Linked DNA regions of Ovis aries. The protein of the gene in region 1 purifies or fractionates together with the protein of each later gene. This does not show direct contact. Links are inferred from orthologs where the notes say so. Each region holds a gene or a part of one and is shown on either strand. Other genes may lie near its edges.

What was found.
Region 2: the proteins of SOS1 (region 1) and EPS8 purify together in Homo sapiens (affinity purification with western blotting; 5 studies listed by BioGRID and IntAct, with this or other methods). This does not show direct contact. The link is inferred for Ovis aries from reciprocal best matches to the Homo sapiens genes SOS1 and EPS8.
Region 3: the proteins of SOS1 (region 1) and CRK purify together in Homo sapiens (affinity purification with mass spectrometry; 6 studies listed by BioGRID and IntAct, with this or other methods). This does not show direct contact. The link is inferred for Ovis aries from reciprocal best matches to the Homo sapiens genes SOS1 and CRK.

What each region holds. Positions count from the first base shown.
Region 1 is NC_056056.1:85,196,691-85,207,723, reverse strand, and holds the end of SOS1 (son of sevenless homolog 1), read right to left. Parts: intron 7,639-11,033; coding exon 7,594-7,638; intron 5,971-7,593; coding exon 5,852-5,970; intron 4,944-5,851; coding exon 4,452-4,943; 3' UTR 3-4,451; downstream 1-2.
Region 2 is NC_056056.1:199,938,520-199,949,061, reverse strand, and holds the end of EPS8 (epidermal growth factor receptor kinase substrate 8), read right to left. Parts: intron 6,836-10,542; coding exon 6,655-6,835; intron 5,495-6,654; coding exon 5,365-5,494; intron 3,096-5,364; coding exon 2,979-3,095; 3' UTR 1,840-2,978; downstream 1-1,839. UniProt on the Homo sapiens protein: Signaling adapter that controls various cellular protrusions by regulating actin cytoskeleton dynamics and architecture. Depending on its association with other signal transducers, can regulate different processes.
Region 3 is NC_056064.1:22,466,293-22,477,325, reverse strand, and holds part of CRK (adapter molecule crk), read left to right. Parts: intron 1-4,512; coding exon 4,513-5,048; intron 5,049-6,728; exon of another isoform or gene 6,729-6,801; intron 6,802-11,033. UniProt on the Homo sapiens protein: Involved in cell branching and adhesion mediated by BCAR1-CRK-RAPGEF1 signaling and activation of RAP1.

The sequences.
Region 1 (11,033 bases):
TGGGCTATGTAAGGCATTTTTCTTTATTATTTTTCGGTTTATCTTAGTAATGCCAGAAAAATAACAGCCATTATTTTCACTTTAAATGCAAACCAAATACTGCTGCACACAGAGTACAAAGATTACCTACGAACATGGTTAGGTACAAAGGCCGTATTAGATGTGTAGACTGCACTTTGTTTTTACATCAAAGTAAGACTGACAGAGCAATTTTTTTGACAATTATTTTAGCAAATAACCGTGCTACTAAACAAAGGCAAATACACACATATATACACAAACATGTTTCAACTAAAGTTATTCGTGTCACTTTGACAAACAAAGGCTTCTTCTCTGGTGGGTTTCACCAGATGTTTGCACCCCAGAGTCCCCTGCCCTGATCCCGCCCCCAAATGCTGACTTGATCTGAAGAAAAAAAGTAGAGATGTTCTTAATTAAAGGCACATTTGGCAGCTACTGAAAAGTGGCATGCATCTGGCACAGGTGCGCTCTCCCTAAAGCCACACGTGTGACTTCCATCTGCTATGCATCTTGTTTCTTTGAGTGGTAGTCCAATGTGATCCACCTTTAGCTAACTTGCTCTGTAATTCTGCAGCAATTGGCTACTTAATGCACTATTTTCATTAAAGGCAAAAGGGAAATTTGCTCACAGTTGACAGAAAATGCACTTTACGGTGTCAAAAATGGAAAATAAGGCATGAAATTTACAAAACAAGTTACAAGTGCTTTTGTTCAGATTTATCATATAGACTTCATGCTTTTCTTTAACTAGAGCTCAAAATATTTCATTGGCTCATGTATAAAGGATTATGAAATGATTTTAAAAGTAATGAGATGCTTCAAAAGAAAAATATTGAATAAATAAACTAAGTCACCACTTTCCCTTATAAATAATTTTACTGCATAATTCTTTCAGCCAAACTGGTTTTAACCCTGTGATGCTTATTTTACTGGTAAAGATTAATGTGCAACTCCATAGGACCTACACTTGTACAACAGTCATACAATATAGGTTAAAAGATAAGTGAACCTACCTATAGCAGCAGAATACCAAGAAATAAATGGTTTATTCTTTCTGAATCTGGAGGGGAAAAAAAAAAAAGGTTTTCCTCAATATGTGTAACACTAATAAATTGGAATTCTCCCCCCCTCCATTGGCATTATGTTTTGCTGAGCCACTTAAAAATCTCAATTTAAGCTGTCATTAAAAGACAAATGATGAGGTACATGATTAAAGAGAGCTAAATTTGAGAATTAAGACAAGATAGTGATCATAGATACCAACTAATTTTTGGTTTAATTTTTAATGTAGGGAAAAACACATTAAGGAATTTGGAACCACAGTGTAGCCTCCAACTGAAAAAGTACAGTTCACTACACTGTTCTGTTAACTGTAGTATAATTAGGGTGGCATGCTCTTCACTAAATTTAGAATCATTACAACATTCTTGAGTTGTTAGAGCATAGTAACCTACTGAACACATAATCTGATATCCAACAACCTTTAATTAAGCAAACTTTTGATGTTTATACATTTCCTGATCATTCGTGGTCTTAAAATACATTTGGAGATGTGGAAAGAGTAAATAACCTGTCTTTCAATAAATTTAGAAACATATACTTTATTTGTTCCTGTTTTTAAAACTACTTAGATGTGAAAAGCCTCCCTTTCTATTATATTGGTTATTGGCCCATGTAGGTAAATTCAGCCTTGAAATATTTTCATTTTGTTGATCCAAAGATAATGAAACAACTAAGAGCATTTCCATTTCTAAAAGAAATGTTCCATGTTTTGGAATGAGATTTAGGAAAGTCATGCTGCACTGACTGTCTTGTAATGTCCTGAATTCAAAAGCAGAATTTTGTGGTGATGCATTTATCTTCTCAGCCACTTCTTGTCCCTGGATTAAGTAGATTTCAGTTACTACAAAGAGTAAATCTGCCAGTGAGTTAATGCTTCACATGTGAAGAAAGCAAGGATACAGTTTTCTCACTACTGTTTAAGGGCATCCAATTGAAATTTTTCTAACCAGTTACCACTGCAGAAAATATTTTGACCCCACTTTTATACTTCAGAGTACAAATATCCTCTATCCACAATGCATATACAGCTGATGCACAGTGAAGCGGTCGCCTAGAACCACCAGGGTAAAAGAATACTTCCCTTTGGAAGATTAGAACTTCAAATCTGAGTTTTTCTTCTTTATGCAATCAGGAAGGCTGAAAAGAGGTCATTACCTTGTTAGAAGGCTAACACACTGGCCAGAGGGATACTGAATGGGCTCCAATGTGACTTTTCTCAGGTTCTCATTTGGAGTTAGGGTTGGGGTAATTAAAGAGAAGTGTGCATAAGACACATAAAGGGAAATCCTAGGGATGATGAGGCTGGACTAATAAAAAGTCATGGAAATTCTGGAATGTGTATTATGATTAACTGTAGCAGCACTAGTAAGTAGGCGTAGATAAATACTTGTTGAATGAATGGTCTTATAGATGCTTTGCAAACAAGAGTGGATTTGAAATAAATTTTGGGGGAGACTTTTGAAAGGAGACATTTCATAAAAGTGGCTACCCTAATAGGAATGGTACAAATATTAAAAACAAAAGATTCAACTCTAATAAATAAATAAGAAAGAATATGACAGGATGGATTGCTTAATGATGATGCAACCAACATTCTGGTCTTAAAGGACTATATATTGTACTATTGTGATGTACATTTAATGCTGTAATAAATATCACAGAAAATTATTAAAGTACTAGGTTTCCACCATGATGCAGCACTTCTAAAAATGCCTCTAATGGCATGGTTAACAGAACTGCTGAAATGTTACTTCATTATTCAGAGGACACATGCAGATACAGATGAACTGATGACTCTCTAAGGATGGAATACTGCACACTTCACAGATATTATAGTGGAGATTAATAACATTTTTTCTCTTCAACAAGTTGCATGCATTTCAGTCACAGTATTGTTAGACTCAGAAGGTCAGTACATAGGTTTAATGAATAATCCATATTATGCTATTAATGATGTAGGTAGATGTTCTATTACGAATAGTTCTGATAGAGCAAAGACCTCAGGCAAGGTAGAATGTTTAATATAAACTTTAACAAACTGTAATACATGTTACCTAGGAAATTAAAAACCTTACAAAGCTCTGCTTAAAAGATACCCATCCTATTCTAACCAAATATTTTCCTACATGCTGAACTGCAACTTTAGACCATTCTTTTAAGAGGAATACACACATCCAGAACTAGAAACCAAGGCGTACCACAATACGTGCTTTTATGCTTAGTGTTGTGTGTGTGTGTGTTTCAACTGAAAGAAATAAGAATCAACCATTTTCTCCATATAATAATTTAATATATGCCAGCCAAACAAAGTATTTGTATCTTTATTCAATTAAATTAAAACAGACCTGCCAGGTATATTATATAACATTCACTATATACACATGATTTAGGCAATGCAAGGTAATTCTAGATATGCTGATCACTCAACTATTAGTCAAACATGACCGGTGTCAGCGACACCCAGCAAGTGCTCCTTTCCCACCGGGTGACTGCACTTCCACAGTATGGTTAGAGGGACAGCTACAAGCCATGACATGGATTACCAGTAAACTTCTGTGGGAAAAGGGGGGAAATGACAATCTAGCATAAAGATTAACAGTCTCCTAAATGTAAATCATATGCTTGACAGTTACATTTTTAGAAGAGTTCTTCTGTCATTGTTAATGACACAAAACTTCGTTTGAAGGCAACACCACCACATTCTGTTTGTGTAGGGAGGGTGGGTAGGGCGATGCTCTTAAAATTGGCATAATTATTCTTAAAAAAAAAAAAAAAAAAGTACCTCTTTGGTGAAGCCTCGGTACCCATTCAATTCACTGTAATAATCTGTAAACAGGACTGCAGTATGGTGCTGGGCCTTGATTCCAACAAGGGCAGGTACCACAGCCTTTCCTCACAGTCCTCTGAATGATTTTTAAGAAAATATTCTAAAGTAGGACGAGTAAAAGCAAAGGAAAACAAAGGAGGATTTGAAGATCCCTGTTTAAGATTTCTTTTTAAAAAGTGCATAATATTTTGAATTACAAAAACTGTCATCATGTGGGCCTGCTGGATACTAGACTGTTTTCCATCCCTTTAATGATAAAGATCACTTCACAAAAAGAGGACTCCTGCTTACTGGCTGGCAAAAGGTTCCTTTACTTGATTTTCCGGTGAAATCAGTTGTCCACTTCCTCTAGATCAACTTTTCCATACTCACTTTATAATTATGTCCATGTTAAAATTCATTGTCTTATGACTGCATCTTGAAGTAGAGTCGTTAGTGTTTGGAGTTTTCATTTTAACTCCTCAGTGCTGGCACGTTCAGTGCATCCATCGCCAGCAATGGATCTGGGGCTAGGAAAATGTACATCCTGATCCAGAGGAACTCAGGAAGAATGGGCATTCTCCAACAGTGGTGGTCCATCTCTGTGCACGGACGGGTGGGTGTGCTCCCTTTTGTAAGTTTTTGGAGGGAGTTTAGGGATATGCTGAGAAGTGCTTTGTCGTGGAGGAACAGGCGGCCCAGCAATGGAATGGAGGTCCACTTCTTGTGTCAATGGTGGTGACGGCAGATGCCTTCTTGTTCCATGAGGAGAAGGTGTTTGAGGAGGAGGTGGTGTAAAGGGGGAGGGGCTGTTTGGGAAGAAGGCATTACTATGGTCACTTTTTTTGCCCAAAGGGGGAGGTTGGAGATGTAGTGGTGAACTTGAGAAAACATCAGGTGTCCTCACGGGTTCTCGTGGAGGTAATAGGGGAGGGCTCTCAGGAGGGTCTGATATAGAGGTCCGGTCTGATATTGAATACCGTGGTGAATAGGCTTTTGACGTGGGTTGCCTAGGAGGAATTGCTGGGGGGCTGTCCAAATGCTTAGACATCATCTAACATAAATGGGGAAAAAAAGACATTTATTAACAACATATGTAGCACCATGAATATACTAAGAATTAAGCTGGGTTTTCAAATACGTTATTGGAAGAACTCTAGGTGTGGATCAGGGAGTTTTGCCATATGCTTTAAATTGGAGGTTATGGCAGTTCATCCATTAAAAAAATTATTTTTCCTTCAATGTTAAGTTTTTATTCTTCTCAAAATTTTGTTTGCTGCTGCTTACCTATCACTCAATCTAATATAAAATCATTTCAATTTAGCATGTTACCTATCAATTTTATAATGTTAAATTTACTATAATAGCATTTCATGGTATTCTGCAAAGAGTTTTCCCCTGCCTAGGTGCTCTGCTCTCTGGACACTTTGATACCACCGAATCATGTTAACAAGTTGGCAAAGAAAGAAATTTAAACAGGTAGGAAAAAAATAGCTATTATGAGCTGTTAAGGTCTCTTCTGACCTGGAATTTTCATGAAAATCCCACAGCCTGTCAAATTCACCTGTTACAGGCTTAGATATGTAACATTTAGCACTGAGATACAGTTTCATTTAAAACGTGCCTTCATATACAGCTTCAGATCTCTTTCTATCTTTTTACAGAACTGCTTGAGACTACATTACTCTTAAATTATAGGTTAAACTTGTGGGGTTTTTTTTTGACAGTACCCATATTTAGATTTATAAGTATTTTGAAAACCTACCAGAAAACTGCTTTCAGAAGAAAGGAAATAAACATTACTGAATGGTAAACCCATACTTAATTCTGGTTTAAACTCTATTAAGCCCCAGTACCCTGAGTATTAACCTCATTCCGTTAGAACTCAATGAGAGATGAGCACTTGATTATAATGGAACTGCAATGATTCCAGTCTCCAGATAACCAGATGTTCTACTTTACCTTAGATGGTGAAGATTCTGCTGGGGCAGACTCTGGCCGTCTTCGTGGAGGAACAGGAGGGGGGACAGGCACTTCATCAGTGCTCTTGGTTAAACTTATAGATGATACTGAAGCAGATCCTGTAGGATGGTACAATTTTGAAAAGCTCACAGGAATTTTATATCATCAATCCTGCTTATATTTATTAAAAGAAATGTACAGAAGTATCAAAAGCAGTACAATAAAGCAACACCCAACAGTACTTCCTTTATTAAAGCAAACTGCTATAAAAGCATGCAGAAATTTCTCAGCAGAGTTTTCAGAGAAAAAGCTGTCTAAGTTATTCTGTTGTTACACTTCTTGAAGAAAGTAACATTTCCATTGTTAATCTATTACTGGAATTTTCTGGGAGAGAGCAAACTATTAAAAACTTTTGGAATGGTAATTTTTGTTAACCTTTTATGATGGGTTCATTTCCCACCCCGCCCCCACCACGACTGTAGTAGTATGGAATTTCCTTGCCTTCACTGGATAGTCTTTGGGAATACTTTCTGTTCTTAACCACTCTCTCCAATGTCTCTCCCTGCCATCCTGTCCTGGGGAGGGATCTCTTCAGTTTGCTTAGGTATCAGCTCTCCTTGGTGGGGAAGCAAAGTCAGGTTCATCACATTCTAATCCAAAATTTTTCATTGTGATGAACACATTTAAAATGACTGAGGCTATGCTGATAATAAAAACAGAAATTACACTAGAATCTAGTGAACCTGATTTAGGAGTAAACTGATGAACTGGCACTAAAAAGGTAAGTAAAAGCCTCTAATTGTAACCTATCTTACAAACATTTATGATAAGGGCTTAATATAGGCATATAAATAACTACACTTTGAAAAACATTAATGTAAGTTAACCTGTACATCAGCACAATGAAAAAGATGTGAAAAAACACTTAAATGATCATTCAAAATTGTATTTGGCAGGTTTTCTTTCCTTTAAACACTGACAGTTTAAATTTTGTCAATTAAATGTTATAAGATAGAACTTAGAGTACTTTGTGTATTGATATTATTTAAATAAGCAACATTCTGATCACCTACCTTTCTTCTTATGAAACTTTGTAAGTTAGCTTATAACACTATTTTCCATTGCATACATTCTGAAATCATTTGTATGAAGGACAGCAAAAAACAATCTATTGGCTTAAAATTTATGGGATAGTTGGTGAGTTGTTAGTACTTTAAAAACAAATACCTACACTGGAACTTTATTTTGCTTGTCAGTGATGAATATTTAGGTTGTATAATACAGATAGTCACAGTGATAAGACAGCTGTTCTAAAGTCAAATAAGTCATTTGCCTACAGCCTGTGCTGTCCCCAGCCTAAGTGTATTGTGTGACTTAAGACACTGCATGTAGCTGCCAACATTCCCATATGCGCATGCATGCTCTTGCCTTTTTTTTTTTTAAGTTGGGCATTAGAACTCCAAAGTTGGAAATGAGAAATGGTTAAATGTGGAAGCCACCCATATAATAATGTTGTTTCAAAAGAGAAGAAAGGTTTTACAAAAAGCATGAGAATTATATAAGTTTAAGCAAATCATTTATGATCAAAAGATAGTACAAGTGAAGGCCTCACTTCTAAGATGCTGCAAAGCAAGGCACCAATGCTGCCAGACCCAAGACGAGTTTTAGCAGGGAAAGGTTACATTTGGTTTAATTTTTAAAGCCAAAGCAAAAATTATGAGTCTTAAACCAAATATACTAACTTGGGCCATGGGGCAGTGTAACTTGGATAAAGACGGTATCGCTGCCTGTGAAAGGAAACAAGAAAAAGTAGATTTTTTTCTTTCAGAAATATATTTAACTCATCTGTAAAAATTTATTTATAATAGAAATGTTATTTCTGTCATTCTAGTTTTAAAGAATGATAGAACAGTTTAGCAAAAGCTCATTACTACTTACTTTTGAGAAAAAGAATTAAATTGCATTAATATCATTGGGAATTTTGAAGATTCATTTTAGATTCACTATTTGATATCATAATAATTAAATGAAAAAGCATTCATGAGAAAACTACAATATCCTTCTATTTTAATGGAAGACTTCCAAAAACTGTATAAACCCAATTTGAGCAAAGAATTCAGTTGGGCATACAGAAATATGTCATTCACTAAGGATTATTTTTAAAACCCAGACTTGTGAAAATAAGTAGTAAATAATGAATTTACGTTATAAAAATACCATTATTATTATTAGTATATATATATACCTTAGAAAATGTTCTTAGGGCATGTGTTCATCACAAAATAACTATAGCTTTGGAAATTACAACAAGCTGAAAGTGATATAGCTTTTCTCCTTCTATATTTTTAAACACTTAAAATATCATTAAACATTTTTGGTGCTTAGACACATTATTTATACAGGAAACTGATAATTTTTGAATATCTAATTTCAACACTACTAATTCTTTTAAGAAAAAAATTGAAAATTATAAAATGCAAAGCCCTGAGAGCATTAAAGTAGAAAAACTGAGACAAAAGCTAGAGGATCTATACTGGTTCTAAATCAATACAGTCGTTTAGGTTACACTGCCTCATATCACCAACATACTGAACAGATCATATCTAAGAGGCTAAAGCCATAACTCTAGCATGAGACTGAGCTGATTAATTCAGGTTTCTCTCTCTCGTTTTTGCACAACAATCACTCAAACGATTAGGGCTGTTGCTTTTTCTAGCTTCTTTGGTCAGAACAAGTATAATTTTAGGTCCTAGGTTTAGCTGGCAGAACCATTAATTTGACTGCTTATACAGATACAGTGTTTTTGTTTCCCAGACAGCCTTGATTTTAAATAACACAGCCTACTACCTCCTTTCCATATGTACTGATATTTATTTGGAGGCTACGTTACTGAGGGTAGCAATCCAGCGAATCCTAATAAGTTAGCTCTCAAAAGATTAAAATTCACTTTTATACTTTTGACGTTAAATAATGCTACTGCTGTGTCAAAGATTCTCTTCACTACAAATGAGATTCTCTTCACTAACATAACAGGGGTTTACAGGGAGTATCTGCTCCAGTGCTTACTACTTATGTATTTTCCACTTTTTTGGAAAAGAAATAAGTATGCTTTTTGGAGATAAGTGTCAAGAACATGGTTGTATACTTAGTACAATATAGGAGTAAAATCAAAACATAAGCTAAGTTGGTAGCTGCCAACTGCAGGCTTTTAGAAAGAATGATTATACCTCCACATATATACTTGTGCACACAGCTGTAGGCTGGGCTTTGGTCTAATGTATATACAGCAAAGGCTTAGATTTATGTGTAAACTTGGGGCACTTTTCTGATTTGTCACTTCAAACTAATTGCTTAGTCTTACTGGAAAATGCTATAAAAAATTCTTTGAGAATTATACATTATGTATCTCAAGAAATATATACTAGGAATTCTTATCAGCTGGGTACTGAACAAATTTACTGACAGTGACTTAGGGCTGAAATCCAGTTAATCAAAAAGTAGCATCAGCTGGTTAAGTACAAATCCCAGATAACAGATCTGTGGTTTCTCCACTGTGGCTGCACGTTAGGCCCTGCTGGAAGGTTTTTAAAAATACTGATGCCCACGTGCCAGTGCTGGTCTAATACAAGCATGGACTGAGCATATAGGTATTTTTTTAAAGCTCTCCAGGGGATTATAACTTTCAGTCAGGGTTGAAACCACTGTTGGACGATAACCTTCAGTTTATATTTGAGTCATTCTGAGAATAAAAATAAGCATTTTCCTATAGAAAAAAATTATATAAATCATGGATAATTTCTTAAATTCACAAAAGCCTGTAAAATGCAAATGTATGAGATCAGAAACTAGTCACCTACAACAATCTGCTACAAAGAAAAGCTCTGCATTCCAGCTGAAAATGTATCTTTTCTTGTTAAAGTTTTCCCTACTAAGGGATGGGGTAAAGCTCATCTCTAGCACACAGACCAGGCCAGACCCATGGCTCCCTTTTATCATCAGGCAACCTTCAACAGCAATGTATCAAGAGCACTTCATCCTCCTCTCTCCATGCTAGAGCCACAGATACAAAGCTGGTGGTCTTTCCCTTTTCCCGGCCACTGTCATCATCGCCTGAGAGATGGACCTGGTAAGGGCAAGGTGTGGAGCAGGGCTCTGAATGTGAGGATATATATAGCAGCACTAGGTAGGAGGCCAGTTTCCTTCCCTCTCTGTCTTCACCACAAAGTTTTCTGTGACCATTCCTGCCCATTCTGTGGTCATCTTCCTGTGAACTTCTATTGCACTTATATTGTCACTCATTTAGCATTTTGTCAGTAAACTAAAACTTACTCATCGTCTCTGCAATCTTACTGAGAGATGAAAAAAAATCATAGTACAAACAGAATCAAAGCATTTAACCCTGGCTAAGCGTTTAACTATGAGTTTCTTTTATTATGATTATTTTTTTTTAATCTCTCAGTAAGATTGCAAGCCTTACCAGAGAAGATGTGTCCAAGCTTATTTAGCAAGAAATGAGATATTGACAGATATTGGCTGAAGAAATTAATCTTTGTTTTTAAAGTAAATTATTTTGGGGAAAAAAAACTAAAAAAAAGCAAAACAACTACTATAACTGATCAAAAAATTCTAGTCAAATTTCGCCTTTTGAAAACCTTAAGCAATGTCTTTGCTTTGCAGTGCCTTTCTGCCTCTTCGTACTGAGTGGAATATGTCCAGATGACTTAAAAATGTAGGTGCAGCAGCTCTTTCCTGCCAGGCCCTGAGGACAGCAAGGAAGTAGGTATTTGGTGTAGCGGCAACACAATGAGTGCCAAGTTGGATGCGCTGGTGACCACTGGGCCCTCCCCCCATTAACACTAGCAGATCTGTTAAGCAGAGTGGGGTCAAAAGCAGATAAGGACCTTTAATATCCTTAGGTGAGCTTTAAGGAGGGGATTAACTGGGCCTACAGATGGTTTTATATTATACTGGCTTTCTTAATTTCAAAATCTGTTATTGTCAATTTATAACAGGTGTTTCCTTTTATCACAAAGAAAGAGAAACTGAAAAAATCCTCAGGGATAAGATTACAAAGCCTAATTCCTGCTACAGTGGTTTCTTTGCTTGTCCAGCTAATTTAAGTTAATATTATTCCACTGCCACATATGAGAAAACAATGATCCAGAGCATTGCATTCCAAAAT
Region 2 (10,542 bases), about 110 Mb from region 1:
CACAGCAAAATGAATCAGCTGTACATATACATACATCCCTTCTTGTTTGGATTTACTTCATATTTAGGTCCCCACAAAGCACTGAGTTCCCTGCACTATATAGTTGGTCCTTGTTCTCATTAGTTGTCTATTTTATACGTACTGTCAGTAGCATATACGTGTCAATCCCAGTCTCCCACATCATTCCCATCCTCCTCTCTCTCCCTCGGTATCCATACGTTTGTTCTCTATGTCTTTGTCTCTATTTCTGTTTTGTAAATAAGATCATCTATACCTATTTTTCTAGAACCCACATACATGTGTTAATATATGGTCTTTGTTTTTCTCTTTCTGACTTTATCCCACTACTGGGCATACACCGAGAAAGTGAAAGTCGCTCAGTCCTGTCTGGTCCGTGGGATTCTCCAGGCCAGAATACTGGAGTGAGTAGCCGTTCCTTCTCCAGGGTACCTTCCTGACCCAGGAATTGAACTGGTGTCTTCTGCATTGCAGGCGGATTCTTTACCAGCTGAGCTACCAGAGAGGCCCATACACCCAGAGTAAACCGTAATTCAAAAAGATACATGTTCACTGCAGCACAATTTACAGTAGCCAGAACATGGAAACCAACTAAATATCCATCAACAGAGCAATGGATAGGAGAAGATGTGGGACACATATACAGTGGGATTTTACTCAGCCATAGAAAAGAATACAACTGGGTCATTTGTAAAGATGTGGGTGGGCCTATAGACTGTCATACAGAGTCAACAATTTTTTTTTTCAGCTGAATTATTTTCTGAATTCCTGAGGCAACAGCACGAGTTAGGCTCTGCCCCATTCTGGGAGGTCTGTTTATTTACCAGTGGTGGGAACTTTTCTCCAGATTTCTCATCCCAGTAGCCTAACTCCTCAGATTTCTGGCTTAAATTCTCCCTCTAGCTTTTCAGTTCCATGAATTCCAACTCTTCTCTTTGTCGTCATCACCCTAAAGGATGTAACTACTTCCTGCAATTACTACCTCTGTGATATTTTCCTCTGGAATTTTATAGCATAAAGACATAAATGACACCAATTCTTTTCGAATCAGATTATGCTATACTGCACACAGGTTATTTTAACTTTCCTATCCTAATTCCTTTTGCCTTATCTCTACATTTTCAGAGATTTTCCATAAGGGCTAAGCTATAAATGTGCATCAGGAACCTTCCTGGTGGTCCAGTGGTTAGGACTCTCTGCTTCCACTGTGGGGTGAAGATGGGTTCAATCCTCAGTCAGGGGATTAAGGTCCTGCATTCCATGTGGTATGGCCAAAATATTTTTTAATTAAAAAATTAAAAACATTTAAAAATAAACACATGTGCATCCATGCTTATGAAATGGAAAAGATAGACGATAATTATTATTCTAATGTTTGTCTCACTTTGTCTGAGGGACAGTGCTTTGGAGGAACTGAGAAATGGAAAACAAGAGGCTCTCATATTCCTCATGATTTGGGGAAAATTAACCTCTAGGAAGCTAATCCTCCCCACATATAATATACAGCTCACAGGTTATTGTAGCTCTCTATCAAGGCGTTTATATGGCAGCACTTCATAATCACAAATGCGGGGTGTAAGTTTGTTTCTACTACTGGGATCAACTGGACTTGCTGGTAGAAGAAAATGTGATGAAATAAGAGAGGTGGAAGGAAGAGAAACTGAGGAAAGTAATCTAGAGCAGTTTTTACCCACTCAGAACTTCACTGGAAATCAGTTTAAAAAGGAAAAAAAAAAGTGGGCCTCTGTTTTTCCCATTCCACTCAACCGTGATCCCCGTTCTTCATGCCAAAGGTCCCTTTTGCCAATGAGACAGAAGCCATTTATTAACATACAGCAAATACTGTTTATTGCAGACTCTCCAGCTGACTCATGTGAAAAAGGCACTATGAAAATTAATGAAACTAGATAATCTCTCTAAATGGGTTTATGTTAAAATATACAACATTCTTACATAACATCTGTTTTATATATGTGAAATAATATAACATTTAATGACAAAAATCATGTTTCCAAAAATAACTTTGTTGAAGGTTAGGTCTCTTTCTTTTCTCTACCTAGAATCTTTCACAGGATCAAAATATGTGTAGATTATTTCTTATTACCAGAAAAACTTGACATGGATAAACACATAAGATGGCCCCAATTTGCTTTTAACTACTTATATCAATATTTAGGACTGAGGCCTTCATTAAGCAAAATACTGTAACACACACCAATGCAGGCTATTTCCTGTGACAGATTTTGAATGTATGTGACCTCTTTTACACTTGTGCTTTCTTAATATATAAGAACACAGTATAGGTAATAAGCAGAATATAAACTAAATCAAAATACAAGCTATACAAGGAATTGTGAACAACAGAGCCATGACAAATAAAATGTCTCAGGAATGTTCCAAAGGTTTCTATTTGTATGTCCAAGGCCTTGTTGTACTTTACAATTCATTAAATGTTTCAGTTTTTTAAAACTGTTGGCATTAAGAACTTTAAATAAATCTAAATAGTCTATATGTCCAAGAAGAGACCTAAGTAAGCAGAGACTAGCCTAAAGTAAGCTACACCCTGGATGATACACAACACAGTCACAGGCAAAACTAAAAATATTTAGATTTTGAATCATGGGCATATCTATCTTTTTGTTTTGCTGCAATTAATAAATTCACCACTATCAAAAAAATCTGCTTATGCATTGAGACTGAGATGAAATAATTAATCCATTAAAGGAAACCTCACCTTGGTCAAATATGCAAAATATTTCCCAAGGTCAAAAATTCTGCTTAAAATTTTTAATTTTAATAAAAATAATGGGCCCAGAAGCAAGTCCTCTGCTTACTTAGGTCTGCATTGTTTCTTTATGGCGATAGATTCTGTACACCAAGAAGACAACTCTGACATTCCTGTCATGGCTTCTTAAAACAAAGCATGGTGGAAACATGCCAAGAATGATGGAATTCTGAAACTAATTAGTGATGCTTCCCTCATCAAAAGACTCCACTCCTGAGTCGCTTGCAGCAGCACTGATTTTTTCCTGTCGTCTTCGCATGATTTCTTGCAACTCAGAGCTGCCACTGTTATCCTGAAAAACAAACACGGTTCAGACAAGATGGTTAGTGGTTTGTGAGGCTGCAGATCACCTAATGAAATGGCTCAGGCTAAAAGTTCTTTGTGTTTTTCTTCTCACGTCTCTTGGCGGGGAACTGAAGGCTGCCCTTCAGGTGAGTGATGATTTGGACTTCACTGACCTCACTTTTTCACTGATAGTGTCTAAAGATCATTCATTCACCATGCTTTCACCTGAACATGTTAAAGGTAAATCAGTAATGCATGTGGAATGCTTTAGATTCCCTGGGAGAAAGAAGAGATTGTACAGTAAGCACAAAAAGATGGTAACTTATCAAAGAATGCTCTTTAGGTCAAGCAAGATATTCATCTATCTGCTGTAGGGGATTCTGAATCAGGCCCAAAGACTGGGCTCAGAAAACTCCAAGTTTCCCCATACCAAAGGGTTGTGACCATCTGACATCTTGTTGGTTTCCGTCCTTTTGAAGTCTGACCTACAACCCCTGTGCACCCACTATAATCCTCTCTCATCAACAGAAGTCTCTGGCGACACACAGGTGAGTAAACAATGAACTAGATACAAGAGAAGGGCATGATGGGAAGGTGCCTGGGGAAGATGCAGAACCTCAGGTAACAATTCACATCCAGAGGAAGAGGAACAAGAGGCCAGGAGGACACGGGCAGTCAGGGAAAATGACAGCAATAGGGAGTCGGGACGGAAGGAACTCAGAAACGTTAGGGTTATGGAACTTACTTAACCCGTAGGGAGTAATTTACACATTCTCAATAAAAGCAGAATGTATAATGGTAACTAAACAGCCTGAGGAAAGATATAATCCTGATTCATATTCAACAGACAGAAAGCCTAATATAGGACCAAGCAAGATCAATGTGGTGGGAAAAATTTCCAAGGGAAATATTTCTTCTGACTGAGAATGGTTACAGGGTTGCATGCATGAGGCTATTTAGTACATTATTTAACTGTTGAATTTACACAATATACCTGCTAGAGATAACTGTGTATTGATTTCACACCAAAGCCTATATCTTTTCATTTGAGTCTGAGTTTAATTTTCACGAACGCTATTAAGAGCTGTGAGATGTAACAGTTAGAAACTACTACCTTTACACAGCCCATGTTAAGTAGAGAAGGATATTGGAAGCTTAAGTATATCCAATCTGGAAAAAATTTACTCTTGCTTTCACAGAAACAACTATACCTAAGGAATTACTCTTCAGGGCTCTCTGTTTCCAGTGGTCCCTGCCTAATATTTTCCCTCTGATTATTTATATGTATAAGCAGGTCTAGGCTTATCTGATAGCTCAGTTGATAAAGAATCTACCTGCAAAGCAGGAGACCTGGGTTTGATACCTGGGTTGGGAAGATTTGCTGGAGAAAAGATAGGCAACCCACTCCAGTATTCCTAGGTTTCCCTTGTGGCTCAACTGGTAAAGAATCTGCCTGCAATGTGGGAGACCTGGGTTCGATCTCTGGGTTGGGAAGATCCCCTGGAGAAGGGAAAGGCTACCCACTCCAGTATTCTGGCCTGGAGAATTCCATGAAAAGTATAGTCCATGGGACTGTAAAGAGTCAGACATGAGTGAGCAACTTTCAGTTCACTAAGCAGGCCTAAGGCACACAGCCACGGTTTTAACACTTTATAACCTCTAACCTGGGTTTCCCTGGTGGCTCAGTGGTAAAGAATCTGCCTGCCAATACAGGAGATGCAGGTTTGATCCCTGGGTTGGGAAGATCCCCTGAAGAAGGAAAAGGCAATCCACTCCAATATTTTGCTCGGGAAATCCCATGGATAGAACAGCCTGGTGGGCTGCAGTCCATGGGGTCACAGAAGAGTCAGAGACGCCTTAGCAACTAAACAACAGCAATCTCAAACTTGCTAGAATCTACAAACTAAACGTTAAGGACAGGCAAAAATGTTCTGGCCTCTTAGGTCATTTATTCACTTGAAGTAAATGAGTAAATAAAATTTCTACAGAAGTAGTTAGCACATATAAAATGAAAGCATTAGGCTTTTTATTAGACATCCAAAAATACATGAAGCTTCATTTTGCAGGCACACTTAACAATAAATTAATCTCCCTAAAAGCGGTCACTGATGACTCCAGTAATAGATTATTAAACCTGATTCAAGTTGAATTCAGCTCTGTATGAAAGGCAAAGAGAGTGACCAATATGGACACAAACATTATTTCCAGAGCTTTCAAACTGCAGTCCACCCTCATGACTAATACAGAAAAACACCCTCTTAGGTTGACAGTCATACCTCTAATGCAGCTTTCTGAACAGTGATTTGGCTAAAGACTCTGGCCCCTTCTGGACAGACGGTTCTCAGTTCATCTTTATTGAGAGAGAAAAGCTGTGCACCATTTAATACTCCAAGACTATTAACAGTCCTGAGAAAACAAAAGAAAGAAAAGAAAAAAACAGAACATTAAAAATACTGTCTGAACTCGTGGTGGCCAAGGGGCAAGGATGAACTGAGAGTCTGGCGTTGGTAGATGCAAACTATTACAGATAGGCTGGATAAGCAACAAAGTCCTACTGTACAGCACAGGGAACTATATTCAACATCCTGGGGTAAACCATAATGGAAAAGAATAAAAAAAAGAATGCATATAGATGCATAGTTAAGCCACTTTGTTTATAGCAGAAATTAATACAACACTGTAAATCAACCATATTTATATAAATATAAATTATAAATACATACATACATACAAACTGTCTGGAAAAAAGCAAAAGGAAAGTTTCTGGTCCTCTACAATCTCTCTTCTCTAGGTGTTCTATACACTGCAAATCATAAATGGTACTAGAGTGCTTAGGGCAATAAGATCACTAACCATAAGCTATCAAAAAAGAGCCATCTGGGTTTATTATTCTTATTATGTAGTAGCAATTCCTTGAAATGTGGTGTTTTGTAGAAGGAATAGATAACTTTCTAGCAGTCAGGCAACTGACTAACCATTCTTTTCAGTCATAGGTGAGTCCCATGTGTCAGGTTCTCTTAAATACGTATTGTTCAGAGTTCAAATACACATGTTCAAATATGTGTACCAAATATACACAAAATATTTATAATTTTTTAATAGAAAAATGGAAACTTCACTATGGATTTCCAAAAGGAAAGGCTCTATTAGGTTATAACCCATGATAAGTAACGTCATCTATTTTTTTATTTGCTTGGGGTCCACATGCTACAACAGGAGGAAAGTTTCTGCTTTGTGTCCTCTGTGGCCTGGGGAGTCTAGGTTAAGACCACAGTCTACATATGTGACCTTCTGAAAGATAAAGACAGCTGCCAACAGATTGCTTCAGAAGCCAATGATGAACAGACACCACCATCTAGAAAATGGGGAGCCAATGAAAGACAGTTATTTCCGGGCTTCTTGCAATTCGTTTTTTAGCTATAAATGGCTAGAGTCATTTCCTAAGTGTGACGGATGCAGCTTGGGTTCTCACATTTTCTAGGAATCACTTGTGCATCTTAGCGATCAAACTGAAAACACTGCATGTTTCAAGCACAGAACTGTAATGGATCCCCAGAGAGACTTACACAGGGTTGAAGCCCTTTGACTGCAACCACGTCTTCACTTCCTCTGGGGTGGAGTCATAAGTGATATTGACAACTGGCACGTTCTGCCGTGGCACGTGAAACTTCTTCTGGGCGGCGCTCCGACCAATGGTCAGTCTGTGGATAAGTTCATCCTGCACTTCCTCCATCTGAGATTTCCTCCCTAGATACCAACACAGAGGAGGTTATTATTTTTTTTTTAAAGCTCCAACAACTCACTCTCTCTAGGACTCCAATGCCAACAATCTTTGGACCCCAGCAGGGCTGACAATCTAGTATTCCTCCTATCTTCCCTTCCATTCTCACCAAGCATAAACTTTATAATCAATTATTAAAATCACTCCCTGTTTCTTCTCTGTCTTCATTGTATTCATTTGGCAAGACCCCCACCCTTGTTAAATCTTAACTTTCTTATTCTGTGCTACACCTGCACACCAAATAGAACACAACAGTGCTGAGTGGGCTCATGTTAATTTCATGATTATGAATCTCCACTGGGCAGTTAATGCTCCCTGATAATCACACTACATTTCCTGTGGCCAGTGGTTTTCAACTGGGTGGGGGATTTTGACTCCAGGGGACATCTGGCAACAGCCAGAGACACTTGGAAGATGTCACAAATGGGGGTCAAGAAAGAAGGGAGCTACCATCATGCAGTGAGTAGAGGTCTGATATAACAAGACAGGCTGCAATGCACACAGGTCAGTTTCCTATAGTAGAGAATTACATAGCCTCAAACGTCCACAGGGCTCAAGGTGAGAAATCCCACCTTGGACCATACAATTGTCTGCTGTTAGACAAACATTTCCTATGTTCTTCCTTCTGTGAACCTCCCAACACCCAGTCTCCAATCCTCACCCTGAGCTGATGATCTCACTTTCATCATTTCTGAGTAAAATAAAGAAGTTAAACTTAGATCCCTAAGTTTCCTTAGCAGCTCCCCCTCTAAGATTCTCTAGTAGCTCTCCTCACCACCAGCACCACCAGCACTACCAACACTTTCCCTGTACACTCCGCCAGCTATCCTTTATTACACTATAGACAAGTGACTCCACAGTCCTCAGGCAACCCCTCCACAAGTGCACTAGACTCCACGTCTTCTGTCTATTTAAATCCTCTGACAGTAATTTCCCCCTGCTTCTTCCATGTTATCAATTTTCCTCTGACTGAATCATTTCAACCAATTACAAACATGCTATTATTTTGTTACTTCTCTCACATTTAAATAAGTCTCTTTTTTTTAAGGTTTTTAAGTGGACCATTTTTAAAGTCATTACTGAACTTGCTGCAAACATTGCTTCTGCTTTTATGTTTTGGTTTTGTGGCCGTGAGGCATATGGGATTTTAGTTAGCTTCCTGAGTGAGGATCAACCTGCACCCCCTGCATTGGAAGGTGAGGTCTTAGCCACTGGACTGCCAGGGAAATTCCTAAATAAGCCCTTTCTTAACCCTATGTACCCTCTCAGCTACTGCCCATTTCTCTGCTCCTCTTTTAACAAAACTAAAAAATCTGTCCAGACTAGCCTGCTGAAACTCCTGTTCTTCAGTTTCCCCTTAAATTCACTGCAATTAGGCTATTGGTGCATCTCTCTGCATCATTTTGCTAAACTCCAGTGGTTGATTCCCAATCATTTACTTATGTCATCCATCAGCAACATTTGAAGGAGGCAACTCCTCCTTGAAACACCTTCTTATGGCCTTCAGGACACACACACGCTCTGATTTTTCCTCCTGTCTCACAGACCTCAGTATCCTATTCTTGGAACTGTCTCATCTCCCTAACCCTCCAGGACTCAGTCCTTAGACATCTTTTCTTGAGGCACTCTCTGCATCAATGATCACTGTGGGTGGTCTCATGGCTTTAAACGCCATTTAAAAGCTGGTGACTACCCAAAATATTCCTGCAGTCCAGGCTGGTCCTCCGAACTCTAGACTCATATTACACCAACTCTCTACTTGATATATTCATTTGGATGTCTACTAGATATTTCAAATGTAACATGTCTACATTGGAATAACTCATCTTCTCCTGAAGCTTGCTTTTATGCTAGACTTCCCAACTTAGTTGGGAATTCTATTTTTCCAGTGCCTCCAGCAAAATACCACTGAGGTATGCCTGATTCCCCTTTGCCCTCAATTACATCCAATCCACTGGCAAAACTTGTTGGTCCCACCATTAGAATACACCACACATCCAACACTTCACTTCGTCTTCTTTCTGCTGCCAGCGTGGTCTGATCCAGCAGCCTGTTCATAGATCTCTTTGCCGCTTCTCTACATGATCCCACCCTTTGTTCTTCATTCTTTTCTCAATACAACAGCTAAATTGATCCTTTTAAAATCTGAGTCAGAGACATACACATACATATTTGTAGTATATCACCTTCAAGGGTTAAATACAAAGAACTGATACAGTAATCCAATTTAACTAACTTGGCAAGTGACAGTGACTTGGTCACTAAGGGAGCTTTTGTGACCACTCTTCTGATTCTTTTTTTCAGGGAGAGTATTTCAGAAAGTATTTGATGTCCCTGGGAAATAAGTGAAAGTGTGAAATAATAAGATAGTGTTATTTTAGCCTATTTTTTTTTAATTCCTCAAGTACCCAGGAAAGCTTTTGAAGAAAAAAGAAGTCAAAAGAAAGAGAAATAAGTGAAAGGAAGAGAGGGAACGAGGGAGGATGAGAGGCTAGAGAGAGAGGGGATGTTACCAATGGTTACATTTAACTAATACACGGCATGCATTTTATTAGTTAACTCTCTTAAATCACCATGATTTAGTCACACTGCCATACAACAGAGAGAACATCTCAGAGAAATAATACAAAAAGTATCACCACAGTAAAAGATTTATTTCCTTATCTGTTGACTTAGCCACTACAGGGCAATCTCCAGTCTAAAGTACAACCTCTTTCCAGGGAATATAGAAACCTCTTGTGATGTGTTCCTGGCTTTGGTTTCCACTTACAATGTTCTAGCACATAACAACACACTAGACTAACTTTACACCTCTCTCTAAAACAACACTTCTTATAGTACTAAAGATTAAACTCAAATAAAAGGAGTAACATTTCAAAGGAAGCAGAAGACATGCAAAACAACTGAAGCACTGATCTCTTCAAAAGTGGGAAGAGGAGAGCCTTTTTGAAAACTATGATGAATAGAACTGAATAGCTTATATGACAATAGAAAACAATAGAATGGGAAAGACTAGAGATCTCTTCAAGAAAATTAGAGATATCAAGGGAACATTTCATGCAAAGATGGGCACACTTAAGGACAGAAGTGGTATGGACCTAACAGAAGCAGAAGATATTAAGAAGAGGTGGCAAGAATACACAGAAGAACTATACAAAAAAGATCTTCATGTCCCAGATAACCACAATGGTGTGATCACTCACCTAGAGCCAGACATGCTGCAGTGAGAAGTCAAGTGGGCTTTAGGAAGCATCACTAAGAACAAAGCTAGTGGAGGTGATGGAATTCCAGCTGAGCTATTTCAAATTCTAAAAGATGATGCTGTTAAAGTGCTGCACTCAATATGCCAGCAAATTTGGAAAAACTCAACAATGGCCACAGGACTAGAGAAGTTCTCATTCTAGTCCCAAAGAAAGGCAATGCCAAAGAATGTTCCAACTACCACACAATTGCACTCATCTCACATGCTAGCAAAGTAATGCTCAAAATTCTCCAAGCTAGGCTTCAACAGTAAATGAATAGAGAAATTCTAGATGTTCAAGCTGGATTTAGAAAAGAAAGAGGAATCAGAGACAAATTGCCAGCATCCACTGGATCATAGAAAAAGCAAGAGAATTCCAGAAAAACATCTACTTCTGCTTCATTGACTACACTAAAGCCTTTGACTGTGTGG
Region 3 (11,033 bases), on another chromosome or scaffold:
AGTCTACTGGTCACACTCTGTCAGGGGTACCTCTTGGGAAGACTTTGCAATCCTTGATTGATCCACTAGTTTTTACCTCTTGAACATGAGGTTTTACTAGACCTTGTCCAATAAACAGTCGATAAAACAGTAAATATGAGTTGGGAGAATAGTTCAAAGCTTGTGTTCTGAAGTCTGGGTTTGAATCTTCCTTGCTGCTGCTAAGTCACTTCAGTTGTGTCCGAGTCTGCGTAACCCCATAGATGGAAGCCCACCAGGCTCCTCCGTCCCTGGGATTCTCCAGGCAAGAAAACTGGAGTGGGTTGCCATTTCCTTCTCCAAGGCATAAAAGTGAAAGGGAAGTTGCTTAGTCGTGTCCAACTCCTAGCGACCCCATGGACTACAGCCTACCAGGCTCCTCCATCCGTGGGATTTTCCAGGCAAGAGTACTAGAGTGGGGTGCCATTGCCTTCTCCGTTGAACCTTCCTTATCTTCTGCTTACTGCTCATATAACCATAGGCAAGTTCTTTAACTTCTCTCTGCCTCAGTTTCCTCATCAGTGAAAGAGGGGAATTAGTACTGACAGGGTTATTTCAAGGGTTAAATGAGTTTTAGTATATTAAATGCTTAGGAATGGAACTACCATTAGGTATATTAACAGATGTGGTGGAGAGGGAAAAACTGAAGCAGAATGGAAAACAATTCTCAGCTTTGAGAGGCTCACAGCATGTCTGAAGGAGTAAGTGCTGGGTGGGGGTGCATCAGGCAGTATGAAGGAGCCTTGGAGCCAGTGTGTGGAAACAAGACGATGGCTTCCATTGCCTGCTCAGCCCAGAACCTCCTACTTGTTGGCCCTAGTGGGTGAGGGGAACATAGAAACTTGTCTCATTTTGGGAGTGGAGGCAGATGCTAGGGTGATGATTGTGCTGCCTCTTCAAGGTGGTGCTGGGCCAGGCCACTTCTGGAGATCCTAGGGGACTGCCTCTTATCCACTACTGCCTTTTTGAACATCCAGCATTTATTTCATTTGTTTGGCTCATCCTTGTAGTTCTCAAACCTGGTCCTCATGATTTACTCTTTAATGAGTTAAAGATATTCAGTGGTTCTATGAGGAGTTCTTTAGTGAGTTACTTAAAAGATTTTAGACCCTGCCCCCACAAAAAAATCTGTAGTAAAAGAAAGTGCGTTTATTTATCGCCAGACTTCTCTAAGCCTTCCCTATGTTCATGTGAAATTATGACTCTAGACAGGCAGGTATTGGACAGTGGTTTTTTCAAACCAGTCTGACCACAGAACTTTTTGAGAAGCATCTTGAGATTCTATGGAATCTTCTTTGGGAAGAATTGAAAATTTACAGAGGTGTTCAGAGGTTTGGGGGGGGTGTATAATTAAGCTGATTGGCCTTTTATTGGGCATCTATAATATACCATCTACTTTTAGGAACTTACTATTATTAGATAGAAATTATTATTATGTAGATCCCTGTCAAAAGTTAAATAACAATTCAGATAGCTAGAAATACCACAGCCTGAATTCTTCAAACTTTATAAGTCTGAATCTGCAAAGTCACATGCGGATATCCACCATTTTTAGAGCTTTTTCAGGATACTTTCTCAAATGAAGTCAGTGGCCTTGTTAGTCTTTTGTAGTGAACAGATGGTAAGAGCTTTGAAGGAATCTCTATGAATACCATAGGCAGTGGAGAAAGAAGAGAGGGAATGAGAATCTAGGAAAGAGGAAAGGAGAGGAAGTGTGAGGTTAAGAGACTGATAATGGAGCCACTGTGGCGATGCCCATGCCAGAAGTGCCTTGGCCTGTTTAGCCCCCAGAGCTCTTGGGTGTTCTTCATAAAACTCTCAGGGGATTGTAAAAACTGTTGTAACCTGAGGGCGGACATGCTTGGAAGTGATGAGTTGAGCGTGTACAGCTCTGTTGGTTAAAAGATAGCTCTGACTGCCTTGATTCTGATTGCTGACTATGTTCATAACTGCACATTTAGAATCCAGCACAGGTTTGATGGAGAACAAGTCAGTGAGGTTTTCCAAGTCCCAGCTCGGAGAACTCTGCTGTTGGTTCTGTTCTCTAAACTGACTGACTGTCTCCTTCCTTTCCCGCCCTTCTATTTCCTGGCTTTAGCTGTTTGTGGTTGGAAAGAGATGAACTAGGGAAAAGGAGCCGGAGCACATAGCTGTGGTGAGGTTTGGGCTTATCTGGAACTTACGTATATGTATTTTGTTCCCCCTCCTCTCCTGAAGCTTGATTGCCCCATATATATATATAACATGTAACTGCTGCAGCGGCACACAAAAACAGGTATTTCTCTATGGAATAATTGTAACATCATTAGAATAGGAAAAGAGGGAGTTCTTGGTGGTTCAGTGGTTAGGACTCCAGGCATTTGCTGCTGGGATCTTGGTTCAATTCCTTGTCAGAGAACTGAGATCTCGCAAGTTTCCCAATGTGGCAAAACGAAAGAAGGAAAGAACGAACCATTCAGGAATGGAAGGAGCTATTCTTTTATAGTAATTTTGTTCTATCTTAAAACATAGCTTGTTGTTGCCACTGATTTTTGTAGAGTACATCCCCAATTGGGAGTGAATGCCAGGGGAGAAGAAGTCTTCCTGAAACACGCTGCTGTGCTCCTTGCTCACCAGCCACACTGTGTTTGCATTTGTATGCGCAGCTGTGCTGTGAGTTTCTCAAACCTGGGGACAGATTTTCATGTAACTTTTCCTCACTTGAGAGTTATGTTCATTATTAATGAACACGGTCCCTAAAGGGTGACTAGTGAAAGCCATATTGGCATTTGTACCTTGGCGTATTGTTGGGTAAATTCTAGGAAGGGAACTTTTATTCCTAGGTGTCACCAGGACAATTCTCTAAGCCAGGTTCTCGAAGGTTCTCCCTACCACTCTGCCCTTAAGGCTTTCTTGACCAGGCAGTACAAAGTCGGTCTTCTTGGAGCTCACACTGACTCTGTCCTTCACATAGTTCCACAGGCCTGAAGGATCACTGTAGCCTAGAGGTGATAGATGAGGTAGCCATGCGTCTTCCTTGTTTACCAGGCTGGAGTAGGAATTATTACCCATCAGTTTTGAGCTTTAGAGAAGAGAAACTCCAGAATGTAGCACCACTGTGCTCTGGTATGGTCATAACCAAAATCCTCTCTCCAGTCACCAGTTCTGCACTTGGAGCTATTGGGGTTGCATTCTGCTGGTGTCTGAGGAGTGTTTGCCATAGATGGACAATCCTGGGTATGAGCATGTATTTCAACATCTTGAGTCAGAGAGACAGCCAACATTACTGACTGTGGGCTATTAACTCGTTTTAGTTTATAGCCATGAATTCCACAGATGGACTTTTGCAATGTAAGAAATGTGCATCTGTCCTCTACATTGTGTCTCGGCCTTTGTTTCATATGGGTGGAAAGAGAAGTCACTCATGAGTATACATTCTGTATTGAGGACTTTTGGTTAACCTCCAAAGTTTATCACTTCACCTCTCCCCACTAGAGGATTTTAAATGTACTTTTTCTGGTCTATCTGGACAGAGTGTTGTCTAACACGGAACGAAATAATTTGGTCTCATTTTTTAGAGTGGCGAAGCAATTTAGACAGCTGGGCTACCGCAGTGTTCCTGTTTCGCAGCGTTAACAGCAAAGGGTTTTTAGATGGATTGGCTAGGTTTTTGTTTTGACTGACTGGTTTTAATAGGAGTGGTGAGGGTAGTTTAGGCCCTCTCTTTAACAAAGAACTCGAACAAGTAATTTTCACAAAACAAGTACAAATATTCAATAAATGTGAAAAACATCAAACAATCAAAGATGATATTTAAGAAGAGACACCCCTGCTGTTCTGGCAAGGACATGGGGGAAATGGGAACTCATAATCCACTGGTGTGAGTGTGAAATCATAAAACTTTTTGGACGACAGGCAACATAAATCTTGGTGTTCTTACCCTTTGATCCAGCAGTTGCATTTTAAGACGTTTATCCTAAGGAGGTAATAAAAAATGTTCATTAATAAAAGCACTCATAAGAGCATTGTTTGCATAGTGAAAAATTGAGAATAAAATATCCCACCTCGTTGGGATAGCTGCTGGGACCTATGAAAACTGAGAGGTTGCTACATTTCCTGAGGTTGAAAAGAAAAAGAAGACTAACACAGCCTTGAACCCTTGTACTCTGCAAATGGAATAGCCACGGAACGTTTTGGGAGAATGAACAAGAGGTTTCCATAGTGTTCTGTCTTTGGTCCGATATGTGAGCTTGTCATGACGGGCGTGGTTGCTCTCTCACAGCCTCTGTCTCTTCTCTGCTGCAGGTAGTGATCGCTCACCTTCTTCCCAGGGAGCATTTGAGCTACAAAGTATGATTTTAGTTTACTGTTAGGAGAAGGGGTTATTTAGATGATTTTTTTCCTTCTCTTTCTTTCTGGTTAAATATTGAGTAAATATGTACGGGGAGATGCTTAAAATCTGCATTTCATCTCCAGTATATCTTTCAATAATACCCTGCTCTGTTTTTTTTTTAGGGGTGAGTCCCTCCAGACTCCGAATAGGAGATCAAGAATTTGATTCATTGCCTGCTTTACTGGAATTCTACAAAATACACTATTTGGACACTACAACGTTGATAGAACCAGTTTCCAGATCCAGGCAGGGTAGTGGAGTGATTATCAGGCAGGAAGAGGCAGAGTATGTACGAGCCCTCTTTGACTTTAATGGGAATGATGAAGAAGATCTTCCCTTTAAGAAAGGAGACATCCTGAGAATCCGGGATAAGCCTGAAGAGCAGTGGTGGAATGCGGAGGACAGCGAAGGCAAGAGAGGGATGATTCCAGTCCCTTACGTGGAGAAGTATAGACCTGCCTCCGCCTCAGTATCGGCTCTGATTGGAGGTAACCAGGAGGGTTCCCACCCACAGCCACTGGGTGGGCCGGAGCCTGGGCCCTATGCCCAACCCAGCGTCAACACTCCGCTCCCTAACCTCCAGAATGGGCCCATTTATGCCAGGGTAATCCAGAAGCGAGTCCCTAATGCCTACGACAAGACAGCCTTGGCTTTGGAGGTACATAATGTGCAAAATGTAGAAAGAAGAGATCTGCTACAGGGTCTCCCTTTCAGACCTCTTAGAGCTTTGTAGGAATGCTGAATATAAGCAGCAGCATTGTAACATTGTTATAGATGTTGAATGGTACTTTTACCATTAAGTACTGATCTTGGCACTTAATGTTGGGTTTTCTCTTTTTTATAGAAAACCTATTTTGGAATGAGTGAGCTTAAAACTGTATAACTGAATGTTCTGATTGATTTACTAAACCATACTTTGACTTCTTTAATAACACTACCTGAATTCACAGGAATTAACCTAAAATATTTTTTTTCATCTACATTCTAACCTGTTTCTTTCTGTTTATCGTTATCTAAAATAAGTGGGCTCCACAAATTTGAGTATAAGTGGTCTCTATCAAAATACTTAAATGAATTTTCTTATAGAAATGTGTTTTTACTTTAGGGGGCTTGGGGCTTCTTACCATGACTAATTGTATAGGTATAATGAGATAGATACTCAAAAGCGTCAGTTCCAAGAAGCAGCAGGTTTACTTGGTCTTTGTTGTTTGCTGCATTTTATCCTCGAGAAACCAGTTCCTCCTGAGGAGTAAATTTTCACCTTTACTGGTGAATAGTTGTCCTCGGTAGCCCATCTCTGGCCAGCCATCACGTTGTTTATTCTCGTCTTTAGTGCTCACAGCTTTGTTTCTTACCTCCTCTCTTCTTCCCTCCTTCCCTCCCTGTCTTTCTGAGTTATGCAGAGATAGTGGTTCAGCATAAAAGCTAGAAGTGGCATGCTTTCCTGTCTTTCAGAGCCTTTCAGATACGATAACTTTAAGCAAGTAGCTAAATTTCATGAGCATAGGCTGAAGTTACTCAGGGGTGCAGGTTAGCAGAGAAGGGGCTAAAGTATTAATATATTTTTGTAAATGGAAATCTCTAAAATCCTTTGGATCATGCTTATACAGTGAGGAGTGGGAGTTGCCTAAGTAAAAGGCTGTACAGTAAGCTGAAATTTATTTGAAGTAGTCTGATATTACTGGATTTAAAATTTTTCATTTGCATTCTGAAGAGTTGGGTGCAAAGAAGGATTAGGTCTACAGGTTTGACTGAAAAAAATGTGTGCTTTTAAAATGTGTATATTTTGAGATCATGTTGTGACTGAAAAGTATTGTGTCCTGCTTTTGATGAGAAAGGAATTATATGTTGTCTAGGTCACACTACTTTTTCCCACTTAGAATTTGGAGGATAAGGAAAACAAGTTTCTAGCTTCATGTTTTCATTTAAGTTCATACGACGGCAGCAGCCAAGCTGGTGCTGTGCCCGTGACAGCTGTGACTCTGGACGCTTATTGCAGGCCCTGTTAGCCGGGCTGGAGTGTGGGAATAGCTAGCTAGCACCCAGGAGAGAATAGTTACCACATTAATTTTGCTTCCATTTGCAATTCCTTTCTCAAAGAAAATTGGTTTGGTTTGGTTTGGTTTTGACCTCACTGAGCAGTTTCCAGGATCTAAGAGTCAACACGACTGAGTGACTTCACTTTTACTTTTCACTTTCATGCATTGGAGAAGGAAATGGCAACCCACTCCAGTGTTCTTGCCTTGAGAGTCCCAGGGACAGGAGAGCCTGGTGGGCTGCCGTCTGTGGGGTCTCACGGGGTCGGACATGACTGACTTAGCAGCAGCAGCAGCAGCAGTTTCCTAACCAGGGATTGAACCTGGGCCCACGGCAGTGAAAATGCTGAGTCCTAACCACTGGACCATCAGGGAATTCCCAGAATTGTTTGCCCCAACGATGCTTGCCTTAATTAGAGGCTTTAGTGCTCCAAAATGGTTGAGCTGGTCTCCTACTGTGAAACCTAAATCTTGTGAAATAAAGACTAAAGTAGAAGAGTGCTTTATGATGTCACTAAGTTTCCTTTTTTGGTTGGGTATTAGTTTGGAGCCACATGTGTTGACTGATGATGATAGCCTCTTTCACGTTAGAACAAGTACCCCAAATAATAACTTTAAAAACACCTTATGTACTTAAGAAAACATCATGTAAGTTTAGCATCACAGAAATCTAAAGCTAGAAAAGACCTTAGATACCCCTATTCATTTATTGAAAAAAAATAAGAGATGGATCGAATGGGTTGTTTAAACTAGTTGGAGATATGAGGAGTCCAGATCTACAGTGGCCTTTTCAGCCACGCCCAGATCGCATCTGGGGCACTTTCTCTTTCGTAGTGGTGATGCTGCCCTCCCGTCAGTTTTGTGTGGTGTAACTGGCAGCATGTCCTTGCGTGTGGTCTCCGTGCCGGGAGACAGCGTTCCTTTCCTATTTCTGGTTTTCCATAGGAGCTGATGCCTAGTCCCTGTGGAGACGAAGCCAGGAGATAAGGTTAGGAAGCTCTGACTTTCTGACCTTCGCATTCAGATGAGAAAAAAGTTCATTGCTGTAGTCGACCCATTATAGGTTTAGATCTGTAGACAAACTAGGCACATTTCAGTGAAGTTTTACGGTTACCTTGAAATTGATGTTGAAATCATTGCATTTTAGAAGTGGACAGAACCCCAGGTATAATAAGGGTTCAGACTCCTAGTATTTCCCAGAAGGTAGCTGAGGATGCAACGCTCTGGGTTACCTCTCTCAGTCAAAGCAGCTTTGTTTTTACTGTTATATATCGGTGTCTCTCTAAGGTTTTTTTTTTTTGAAGGAAGGGTTTCTGTACTTAAAGAGTATGTTCAGGATCCACCTGTCCTCCCCTTACAGATGGATGTTTCCTGCATGGTATATTTTCTGTGACCAGAGTCCTCCAGTAGAATATAAGTCAATGACTACTTCCTCTTTTCCCACCCATCAGATTTCTCTAGTAGGAATGAAGGTTGTTGGAAAGAAGGCATTAATTCTAGCAAACAACCAAAGTAAGGGTATTCCTTGGTTCACTGTAACTCTGGGGGAATGTAACTGAACCAGGAGGACACCATCTGTTCCATCCTGGAGCTTCTAATAAAGACAGATTTTAAACAAATGTATTTTGAAGGAGACACACTGGAAGTAGCACTAGAACAGTGCAGAGGCACCATTTACTTTTTTGGTCTTAGATTTGATCTGAGATTTCTGTTTGATTGGTTTTGGTTTCATGAGTCATGGCTCCTTGGGAGCTGGAATAGTGATGAATCTTATCTTGTAAATTGCAGGTGTTAAAGTTTATTTCATGCCTCTGTAGACTGTCCAGATCAATCACATTATCTTGGAATGTACTATCATGTAACTTCCATTTTCTGATTCAGCCTGGCCTCTTGCCTTTGATAGATAAGACTTCTGAGTAACCAAGGAGCTTTTCAGGTGGACTTAGGTGTGAACCTGTTCTTCTGGTAGCAGATAGGGAAGACGTAAAGTTCCATGGGTCCCTGATTATATGCAGCAGTGACCATATTAACTCTACATCTCCCCATGTAGAGCTCTGAAACCTTAAGTTATTTAGGCCTTTTGACCTATATATGGAAAAGTGAAGTGAAGATCTTAATTTCCCCTTTGTTCCAGAGAGAAAAAATGAGATTAGGAAGTGTAAGAACTGCATGACAGGTCTTGGCTATATATGTAATAACTTCATACCCACTTGAAAAAATAATAAACATAATTGAAAGAAAATAATATTTTCATTTTAATAAAATAGTTTCAGTTACTTAACCCCCCATTAAATAGCAAAGTTTCTCAAACCTTGGGATCATATGGAACATTGCCACCTTCATTTCCTGTTCCACACCTGTTTTTTCATAACGTACTTGATTTTTATCATAGCAACTGCCAAAGCCCAGCTTTGCAAAGACATGACATCTTTGAAAGGGATGTAGTGTAATCTGATATCAAAATTGTTAACTGTTTTGAGTTAGTAGTTCACATGGCATAACAGACATCAGGTATTGCTGTTTCCCTCAAAAATACAAAATACTTGGTGGGACCCCTCAGAATTTGCTGCAGTGCCTCTGACTCTTCAGTTTGGGAACCTCTGGTCCTGTTGACTGTACTAGTTCTTAGAAAATTCCTTAAGTTGAGCTAAAATGTACCTGTTCTGTGTACCTCTCATCAAGAAGATGGGGAACTTAGTTTTAGTTACTATCAGTTGTTGAGCTACAGAAAAATCTTTTTGGACTCGGACTACAATCAGGGTAACACCTGTCTTCAGTGTGGTGCTTCTGCTTGACATCAGGAAGCATACCTACGCGTTAAATCTCAAAGACCTGCAATGATCCACGAATATGAGCCATGGGCATTTCAGTCCATCTCTGAGGCAAGTGAATCATTAAGACTGAATTGGCCTCACTTGTCTTCACTGATTTTAGAGATTTTAGATGGGCCTCCTAAATATTACGTATTCCTCAGATCAGGGATCTGCAGGCTTTTTCTGTAAAGGACTTTGCAGGCCATGCAGCCTCTGTCAGTTTGGCACTGTAGCGAGAAAGCAGCCATAGACAAACAGCACCTGAGCTTGCTGAGTTAGAGCAGAACTGTTCGCAGAAACAGGCAGCAAGCTGGACGTGGCTCACGGGCCACCTAGTTTGCTGACCCCTTTTTCCCTCCTTAAGTCAAATCTTGAAATGTGTTCTTGGTGTGTTTGAAAGTATTTGAAAACAAGATCCTTGTAGTCTGTCTCAGTACTTGGTTTCCCTGGCTTTATTTACATAAAGTGAGTTAGATGTGTTTCCTGCCCTGAGCTTACAGGAATCATGCAGCAAATCTGGATCAAAGAAACACTGGCAGCTATTGATGCCTTTCCTGTTAGACAGCAGGGATAGAAACTAGAAAAGCAGTCGCCTGGGGTTGCGCCGGCAGGGGAGGTCACACAGTCTCTGGTGTCTCCTGTTTAGGGAACACCAAAAATTAATGCCATTTGGACGTCATATTTTTTCTAATTGTCCTTGGAACTCACTGGTAAAGGTGAGTGTTCATTAAGTTCCCTGGGAGTGAGGAAAATAAAGTAACTACATTCAGTCCTCTTTACAGATGATGCCATGATTTACTTGCAGACTTACTCCTGAGGGTGTGGTATAGGGTTGAGAGACAAGGAACTAACTCGGCACTAAAACAGTACCTTGGTGGTGAAAGAATCACCAGTCTCTCCTTTACAGGGTGTTAGTGGAGTCTGCCTCATGAGAAGAAAGGTTGACTGCCTTGTCGTGCTTCGGGTCCTTTAGAAGTTCTTTCGTTTTCGTTAGTGCATAGATGAGGGTTTTCTCTTCCATCTGTAACGTGAATTTTGAAATCAGTAATGTGAGAACTACAGTTACTACTGCAGGTACGTTCCTTTGTGTCTTAAAATTGGAGCATTTCCAGGGCAGGCACTCAGTCTCGCTTTCTTTGTCTTTGCGTTAGTGCACCAAGCTTCAAACCTGTGTGCACCCCCCTGGCCCTCCCTGTTCTTGCCTGAGGGCACTCTGCTTTAGAGTGCTGTTGCCTGACAGGGAGAGGACCACAAATTCCGGTGTCACTTCTGACTTGGAGAAAGAACTGCACTTAGTGGAGTGCCGTATTCCCAGGCTGCCCCATCCCCTCCTGCACTCTGCCTTAGGCTCCATACCCACCATCTTCCAGATGGTGGGAACTCGAGGGCCTTATGTTTTCTCAAAGATAGTCATGTTTTTGCCTTCTTGACCCCAAGACTCCCTATGTGCTTTGACTGTTTCAGTAGAAAGAAACCATAGGGTATTATGCATTGGTATTTAATTTTAATAAGGTCTACCTCGAAGTATTTGTACTTCAAGGCCACTTTGGGCAGGTTAATTAGCCTATTAAATGCTTACAGCTTTCCTCTTCTACCCATTTAAAAATCAGAATCATTTCAGAGTCATGACACGACCTTTCTTTCACCCCTTGATGTTTGGACTTTTCTGCCAAGAACCTAATCAACTAAAAAGAAAAGATTCTGGATTCCAGAAGATGGTTACTTTTCCTGAGTCTTTCTCTGCAGGGTAGAACCAAGAGAGTGTGTGTCAGAGATGACCCTGATGCTGTCCAA